2 linked regions of the Rattus norvegicus genome follow. The protein of the gene in region 2 purifies or fractionates together with the protein of the main gene of each other region. This does not show direct contact. Links are inferred from orthologs where the notes say so. Each region holds a gene or a part of one and is shown on either strand. Other genes may lie near its edges. The genes, in order: Inhba and Acvr2b.

The links.
Region 1: the proteins of Acvr2b (region 2) and Inhba purify together in Homo sapiens (affinity purification with western blotting; 3 studies listed by BioGRID and IntAct, with this or other methods). This does not show direct contact. The link is inferred for Rattus norvegicus from reciprocal best matches to the Homo sapiens genes ACVR2B and INHBA.

The regions. Positions count from the first base shown.
Region 1 is NC_086035.1:53,801,813-53,805,720, forward strand, and holds the start of Inhba (inhibin beta A chain preproprotein), read right to left. Parts: upstream 2,697-3,908; 5' UTR 2,640-2,696; intron 67-2,639; 5' UTR 1-66. UniProt on the Homo sapiens protein: Inhibins/activins are involved in regulating a number of diverse functions such as hypothalamic and pituitary hormone secretion, gonadal hormone secretion, germ cell development and maturation, erythroid differentiation, insulin secretion, nerve cell survival, embryonic axial development or bone growth, depending on their subunit composition.
Region 2 is NC_086026.1:128,044,205-128,048,012, reverse strand, and holds part of Acvr2b (activin receptor type-2B precursor), read right to left. Parts: intron 3,511-3,808; coding exon 3,367-3,510; intron 3,171-3,366; coding exon 3,022-3,170; intron 2,203-3,021; coding exon 2,088-2,202; intron 908-2,087; coding exon 769-907; intron 681-768; coding exon 550-680; intron 83-549; coding exon 1-82. UniProt on the Homo sapiens protein: Transmembrane serine/threonine kinase activin type-2 receptor forming an activin receptor complex with activin type-1 serine/threonine kinase receptors (ACVR1, ACVR1B or ACVR1c).

The sequences.
Region 1 (3,908 bases), on a different chromosome or scaffold from region 2:
TCCTCCCCACCCCTCACGTACAGGTTTTTTGGACTTTTTTTTTCCTTCTCCTCTTCAGCAAATTCTCTGGAACAAGAGCAAAAAGTTTTCTGTGAAGTTTTGTTTGCAGGTTCCCTCTCTGAATGCAGTCAGTGCTGTAGGTTTGTGGCTGTCAGGGAGGAGAGTTCTGACTGTCTCCGAGTAAAAGAGAAGGAAGGAGGGAGGGAGAGAGGGAGGGAGGGAGAGAGGGAGGGAGGAAGGAAGAGACAGGGTGGGGGGAGACAGAGACTGAGAGAGGATGGGAGGGAGAGACAGGGAAAAGGGAGAGAGGGGGAAAGAAGACAGGGAAAGGGGGAGAAAGAGAGGGACAGCAAGGGAGGGGGAGGGAGAGAGAAAGAAAGAGAAGGAGGGGGAGGGGAGGGAGGGACTGAGAGGGAGGGAGGAAGGGAGAGAGAGAGAGAGAGAGAGAGAGAGAGAGAGAGAGAGAGAGAGAGAGAGGCGGATTGGTCCTATGTGAGTGAGTGAATGGGAGAGGGAGGAGGCAGGGCGCCTGTGAGTATGAGCTGTGACTAGGGAGGAGGGACAGCCCGTTTCTGACAGGCTGCCTCCCGCTGCTCCTTGCTCCCTCACACACACCTCTCTCCCAATCCTACCATTCTCTGGGGGGGATGGGGACTCTTCCGTCCTTTCTACAATAAATTCTCCTAATTCTGTTCACTTTTAGTCTGGGGGTTTCTTTCTTTATTTTGTACTTTTTTTTTCTTTTCAACTTTCTCTGCTCAAACCTTTTTCTTGCCTCACCTTTCTTCTTTGGGGGGCGGGGGAGTCCAAGGAAATTAAATGCACTGTTTCCATTCACTGAGATAACTAGATAGGAAAGTGGCACCAAGTCATCTCCCATGGTCTTGTACTTCCCTGGAGTAAGCACCCACCTGACCTTGATATGGGTCTGAGGGAAGTCCTCAGATTGGTTGGGGGCTGGGGCTGAGGCAGAGGGGCTGCCTGAGACAGCTGGTTGTTCTGCCTGACAGAATCCAGAACCATTCCTTTCTGCCATTCATTCATATTTAAATGTCCAGGGTCCTTATGCCAGCAGGCGATCTTATGGGACCTGGAGCGCAACACAACTTTTGTCTGGGGTCATATAATACACTCTGCTTTTGCCAAGTGGGCACCACAACAGGGCATTGGAAGCTCCCTTGGGCAAGCAGCAATTTACATACACAGGGAAGGTACTCTCACACACACCCTGCCCCCTGCATCTCCTTTCTCTACCCTGGATGCACATATACTCAGAAATTATAGCCCACTGCCCATTGTCCTGGCTTCACTGATAAAGCACAAAATTCATTTGGTCTTTCTCACATCCTTTCATGAAAAACAATGTACTCTTACAATGTAACTAGCCTAGAGGGCAAGAATCTCTAAAATATACCAGGAAATTCTTTTTCTCTGGCATGCACTACTTTTGTTGTTCTGCTGCCCACCTCCCCTCGCCAGCCTTGACCATAGTGTAGCATTCAAGGCAGGCTGCCTGGCTGTGTTGTTTCTCTTCAAAGTACCAGCAGAGCCGAGTTCATTGAGGATTACAGTATTCAGAGAACGAGACAAATGTGCACTTAAAACAATGCCTTTCTGAGGCTTCTTTTTAATTCTTCACACCACCTTTTCGTTCTGTCTTGTGCAGAAGATCTTTAAGGTGTCCATCTGTTATAGCAGTCCTTCTTTCTCAGTTTCTTCCCTACATATAAGCCCGCTGGTTTCTGCAGATACATTCAATCCCTTCTGCCTGACACCCGCTGTGTTCAGAGTATTCTAGGCTAGCAAAGCAGGTCATGAGGACAGAGTTAATAGGGGTCAAAACTACAAGCATAAGATCTACATACAAGGAGAAGAAGTTCAGATAAGCATGACACTAGGTTAAACTTCCAGTTTTGACAGGTAACAATGCTTCCTGAACAACACAAATGCTATCTTTCCCCAAAGCAGCAATGCACAAGACTTTCTTGGTTATAAGCCCTCTGACACCTCTGCAGGGCTAGGAGGACTCCCACCTCCAGAAACACCAAGGACACTGCTGTTGTTGGTAAGACTGTCCATATTACCTAAAACAAAACTCTCATTAAAAAAAAAACCTGAGGGAAGTAGGAACACTGGCATCACAATGGTTTAGGAGAACATCTTTGTGTTCTAATAACATCACCCACCTATTTGGAGTTACAGATACAGAACCCGAAGCATTTTGTAGCACAGTTAAGTTTTACAAGACAGACTAACATAGAGCTAAAAGTTTAATGACTCTAAACAACTCAAGAGTCCTAATAGTAGCATTTGGATAACAGCAACTTATCAATGTTTGGATTCTCTCTGCATGTGAATATGTGTGTGTTCCCTGGATTTACTGTTTGCAAATGGAACTCTTAAAAATAGCTTTCTTTTTGGCATATGTACTTGTATATGTGTGCTGAGTGGGTTGTATAAACACATAATCTATTTGCATGCTCTAGGACTATTAAAAAACAGTATTAACCTGCTTGCACAATAGAAAAACGATACAAATTACAATGCCTATGGAGGTGCCAAAAAGTTGTAAAAGTCCTTTTAGCCACACTGACTTTTAATGTGTAGAGAACTCGAAAGCAAGAATTTAAAAGCATTACCTTTCGGGTCCCTTCTGTTTTGCCAGCCGGCTCTTGTCTCATGAGGTCAGAGCTGTCTGAGTTCCTCTTCATGGTATTGGCACTGTGAAGTTTTATACTGTAGTACTTAGTTGTACACTCACACATTGGTACCTCTCAAAGAGGAGGGCTGGGGCTTTGTTTAGGATTGGTTAGAATCAGCATGACATCAGCAGATGACTCGTTTTTCCAGTGTGAGACATTTCATAATTCACTATCTAATGGAAATCTCTCTTGGCTTCTGAGACACGACCTGGGTGATGCATTGAGCCAGTGAAGCCTGTGGCTAGGAATAGTCCACCCTTTACAAACATAAGAGAACCGAGTACACACATCTCCAAGAGTGTCCAGCTCTGACAGGTTACTATTCATACCCACTTCTTACTAGAATCAGCCTTGGCTTTATGTCTACACATAAAACATCTGTTACTTCATAAAACTACTCCTATTTGCAAAGCACCGTACTTTTGCCACAGCAAAGAAAAGTCATAGTGTTCTTCATAGGGATTCTAGTTTTATAATTATGACTACAGTAAACTATTTTCTTGAGGAAAATCTGTATGTCCGTGGTCGCCCTGCTTTGACTCACACTATTAATTACACCTTTAAATCGAATGCCGGCTTCATATACCATTTCTCACCTCAGACTTGGAAAATGCTCTTCTTCTGCAAGTGAACTTCATAAGTATTATGCCTAGGTCTTTAGAGTCCCATCCTAACTAGCAAAAACAACAATAGCACACACACACACACACACACACACACACACGCAAAATGCATCTTTTCTTTAAAAGCTTGAACATCAAGCCCTATCATTTGTAAACACTATAAATACGAGTTTAATGAAAAGAAGTGAACGCTCCTTAAAATAGAAGGAAAGTTAGGTTAGGATTTTCTTTGGCCTGGGTCACACTGGCAGTGAGATAACATAGAGAGAAGGAATGCTCCGATAAGCACAGTAAAGAGGGGCTCTTGTTCTCAGGAAAGAGTACAGCTGAAGCACTGGCCAGGTTCTCATGACAAGTCGGATAAAATGTGCAAAATCGGGAGCTAATAAAAGCCATATGACCAGATATGTTGTTTTGTGTGCCGGATTTAACATGAATAAAATAAACTTTTCACTATGCCCACCAGCAAAAGGTTTGAAGTGGGCAAGGTTCCTCTATGACACCAGGAGCTGTCTGGAGGGTCTCTCGTGATTGAGAACAAAGTGGATGGAAGGGGGGGGGGGAGAGGAGTAGTCTAAGAACC
Region 2 (3,808 bases):
CTTCCACACAGCCTGCAGACAGACGAGCCTCTGCATCATGGTCCCAGCACTCCTCGATGGTCACGCAGAGCTGGGCCAGGCCCTGCGGAGGACGGGGAGGGAGGAAAGAACCCTTGTTAGGGCTACTCAGCGAGGGCAGCCAGTGGCTATGAGTCAGGGGATTAGGAAGGGCCTACGGCCCAGGCCCAGTTATAGCCATTATAGGTGGATTATCAGGCTGCAAATTCCCTGAAACTCCTCTCCTCCCGCTGGTTACCCCACGGAGCCCGGGCCCAGGAGAATGTTCGCTCCCGCTCCCCGCAGGCAGAGCTGCTCATCTTGGAACACTGGAACTCAAGTCAAATAAACACAAAGCCCAAACACAGAGCTTTGTCCAACGTTTCCCAGTTGAGCCACAGAGGGGACAAGAAGGAGGAAAGGGCCTACCATATTTCCCACAACCTCAGGGATATGTCCCTAGAACCCAGGGAACATGGTAGCCTTCCCTCCTCACGCCGAGGCAGGTTCCCTTCACGTACCCCTGTTGACTCCAGAACCCAGCTCCCTCACCGGATGTTTCAGCCAGTGATCCTTAATGGTGGGCCTCATCTTCTTGTGGACAACCACCTCCTGAAGCTCCTCCAGTGAAGGGTGTTGGCCAATCTCTTCCTCGAAAGGCAGCATGTACTCATCGACAGGCCCTGAGTGACGGGTGGGGGCTCTGATGGAATCACAAGGCCCAGCTCCAAGCCCCCAGCCCAGGGTGCCCATAGCCAACAAACCACTCACCATCTGCGGCCTTGCAACGAGAAACGAGCTCCCACAGCACCAGGCCCATGGCGTACATGTCGATACGCAGGAAGGCGTCTCTCTGGAAGTTGATGGCCCCCTCCAGCACCTCGGGGGCCATGTACCGTCTGGTGCCAACCTACAGGAAGACAAAGGACAGGATCTCCAGAGACCAGCTGTACTCAAATGCAGTTGGCTGGGAGAAGCAATGAGCACCAGGCTGGGTAAGACTGGAATTCTGAGCACGAAGCGTTGGAGCTGAAGCCCTGGTCCGTCCCTTTGAAGCAGGGTTATGATTCTATCTGACAGTAACTGATGGACTGGAGGCAGTGCTTGTTAGACAGCTGTGCAGCCCTGGAACATCTCAAACAGGCTACTCTGAGGCTTTTTCCTCCAACGGTGCCTAAAGTAAAGCCAGACACTCGGAAGGCTGAGGCAGGAGAACTAAAAGTCCCAGACCAACCTGAACGACACAGAGACAGACCCTCTAACAGATAAAGAGGCGGCTTAGCTCCTAAGGCACCAGCCACTCAAGTGTGAAGACAGAAGTTTGGATATCGAGAAGCCACATAAATGTGGCAACAGCAGCACAGGGAGGGGACGATGGCGTCCCCAGAGAAAGCTGGCTAGACTACCTGATAACCAGCAAAGGACCCAGTATTAATCGACAAGGCTTAAGGTGATCAAGGAAGATGCCCAGTGGCTACCCCAGGCCTCCAAACCCAGACAAGCAACTCGTGTGGAAACGGGAATACACAGGTTAAATAAACAATGAAGCAACAGTCAAAAGGCCGAAGAAGAATGTGGAGAACTCGTTTAAACCACAGGGAGACTCCCCCAGGATGACTGCTGGCTTAATTTTCATGGCCTTTTCTACACGTTTGGCTGGGATTCTCAGCACCCTTTCTTTCCTCTTTAATCTCGCTTAATGACTACAACTGAGGGCAGGCAGGAGCCTCTGTGGTAAAGGCTTGCTGCAAGCCACACGACCCAAGTTCAAGCCAAGGAACCCACATGCTGGAAAAAAACCTGACTCTCTTACACAACACACACACACACACACACACACACACACACAACGTCTTTTGGGAAAATAAAATAAAATTACAACAGAAAGAGAAAGACTGAAATACCAGGACGAGCTGCCGAAGCCCAAATGAAGCCTGGATCCCTCAGCCGGGTGGCTGGAGGAAGCCTCGCCAACCTCTCTATTGGTGAGTTAAGAACCTAGTTCCCAAGTTCCCACGTAGCTCTGCAGTCACCCCAGCTGAGCCCAGAGCTCTGTGCCAGCCTCTCCTCCCACTGCCCAGGTTCCTTACCTGCCCATGGGTATCCCCTGGAGGCTTCCCCGGCTCAAACCGAACAGCCAGGCCAAAGTCAGCCAGCACCGCGGTGAGGTCGCTCTTCAGCAGAACATTCTTGCTTTTGAAGTCCCTGAGCAGACCAAGAGCAAACTGTCACACAGGTTCAAGACCCGGCCCACCCTGAGATGGCTGATCTCGATCCTCCTCCCACCCTGCCTCTCAAATTACTAGAGTCCATGACCTGTAGCTCCTGGGTCAAACCATCCCCACCTCTGTGGGGCAGGAGACGAACGGCTTGGGAGTTCAGGGGCCCATACAGCAGGTCCCACTCTGGCAGCTGGGTAAGACCCTATACCACAGCACTAGAAGCTGGCCCATAAATCTCACAGGGCATGGCACACAAATCTTACAATGTTTGGAATGTGAACAAGAATATAGAGTCAGCTTGCTAAAGCCGCACAGGCAGGGCAGTGCTCGAGTGGTGCAGGCAGTCCACTCTGCCTAGACTAGAAAAACCAAAACCGAACCAACCAAACAACAGCGTGGCTCAGAAATCCTAAAAGATCCTAATCCAGAGCTCCGTGAAGTTAGGCACTGGTAATTGACTACCGTTTGCCCTTTTAAATCTCATCGGTATAGAGTGGGGCTCCCCAGGGGAATAGTGGACAGCTGATGTTATCGTGGCGACACATAAAACACGTGTGCTCTGTGCTAGCAACCATCAGCAAACATGGACATAAAAGGTTCTGGACCACAATCTGAGAATTTGAAGAGCCAGCTCTCCAGAGTCAGCACTTTCTCCTGTGCCCAGCAGAGGGCGCAAGAGCACTGGCCTGGAGAGCTAGCTGTCTCCAGCTACGGGAGAGCAGGGTTTACTGGGACGCAGCACAGGCACATTCAAGGAAGCAGAGCCATGCTCTACAGCAGGGAGGGCTCCTTAACCAGGTACCTGTGGGCAATAGAAGGCTTGTGGCCCTCGCCACGACACCACGGCACATCCTCATGCAGGTACGAGAGGCCTCGTGACATCGTCTCTGCCACATGACACAGCTCGTTCCACGTGATGATGTTCCCCTTGAGGTAATCCGTGAGGGAGCCCTAAGAGAAGGCAGCCGACTGTGGGCAAAGGCTCCAAATGCAGAACAGGGTGCAACCCAACCCAGGCCCAGCGGGAATGTCCTGGTGCAAGCGTGCAGAGGGGACCGAGGTGCGGCTGACACGGGGGTCGACTCATGGCAAAGCCACCGTTGGGACCTCCCTGTCCACCCCGGGGCCTTGCTGGGGTGTAGCTCACCTTGTCGTGGAAGGCTGTGATGAGCCACAGCTCCACCTCCAGGTTGGAGCCTCGTTTCTCTGCAGCAATGAACTGCAGGAGGTTTTCGTGCTTCATGCCCGGTGTGCTGAAGATCTCCCGCTCACTCTGCCACGACTGCTTGTCCTGAGGTAGGGAGGCGGCTCAGCCCTGCCACAGGACAGCCACCCCAACATGCCCTACTTCATCCCCACCACTGGTCTCCTGGCCTCCACATGCACGAGGAGAGCCAGGCCGGCAGCAGTCTCTGGGGGAGCTGATGCCAGCGCCCTGATTTACAAACGCTGAGTGAGGTGCCCAGCCAGTATCAGCCAGCAAGTGCTCGACTCCTCAAGCACCCTGGGCGACTAAGTCCAGGCTTGCCAGGTGTCAGGAGCCTCTGAGTAGACCATAACGTCAACTACCAAACTCGGGGACCGAGGAG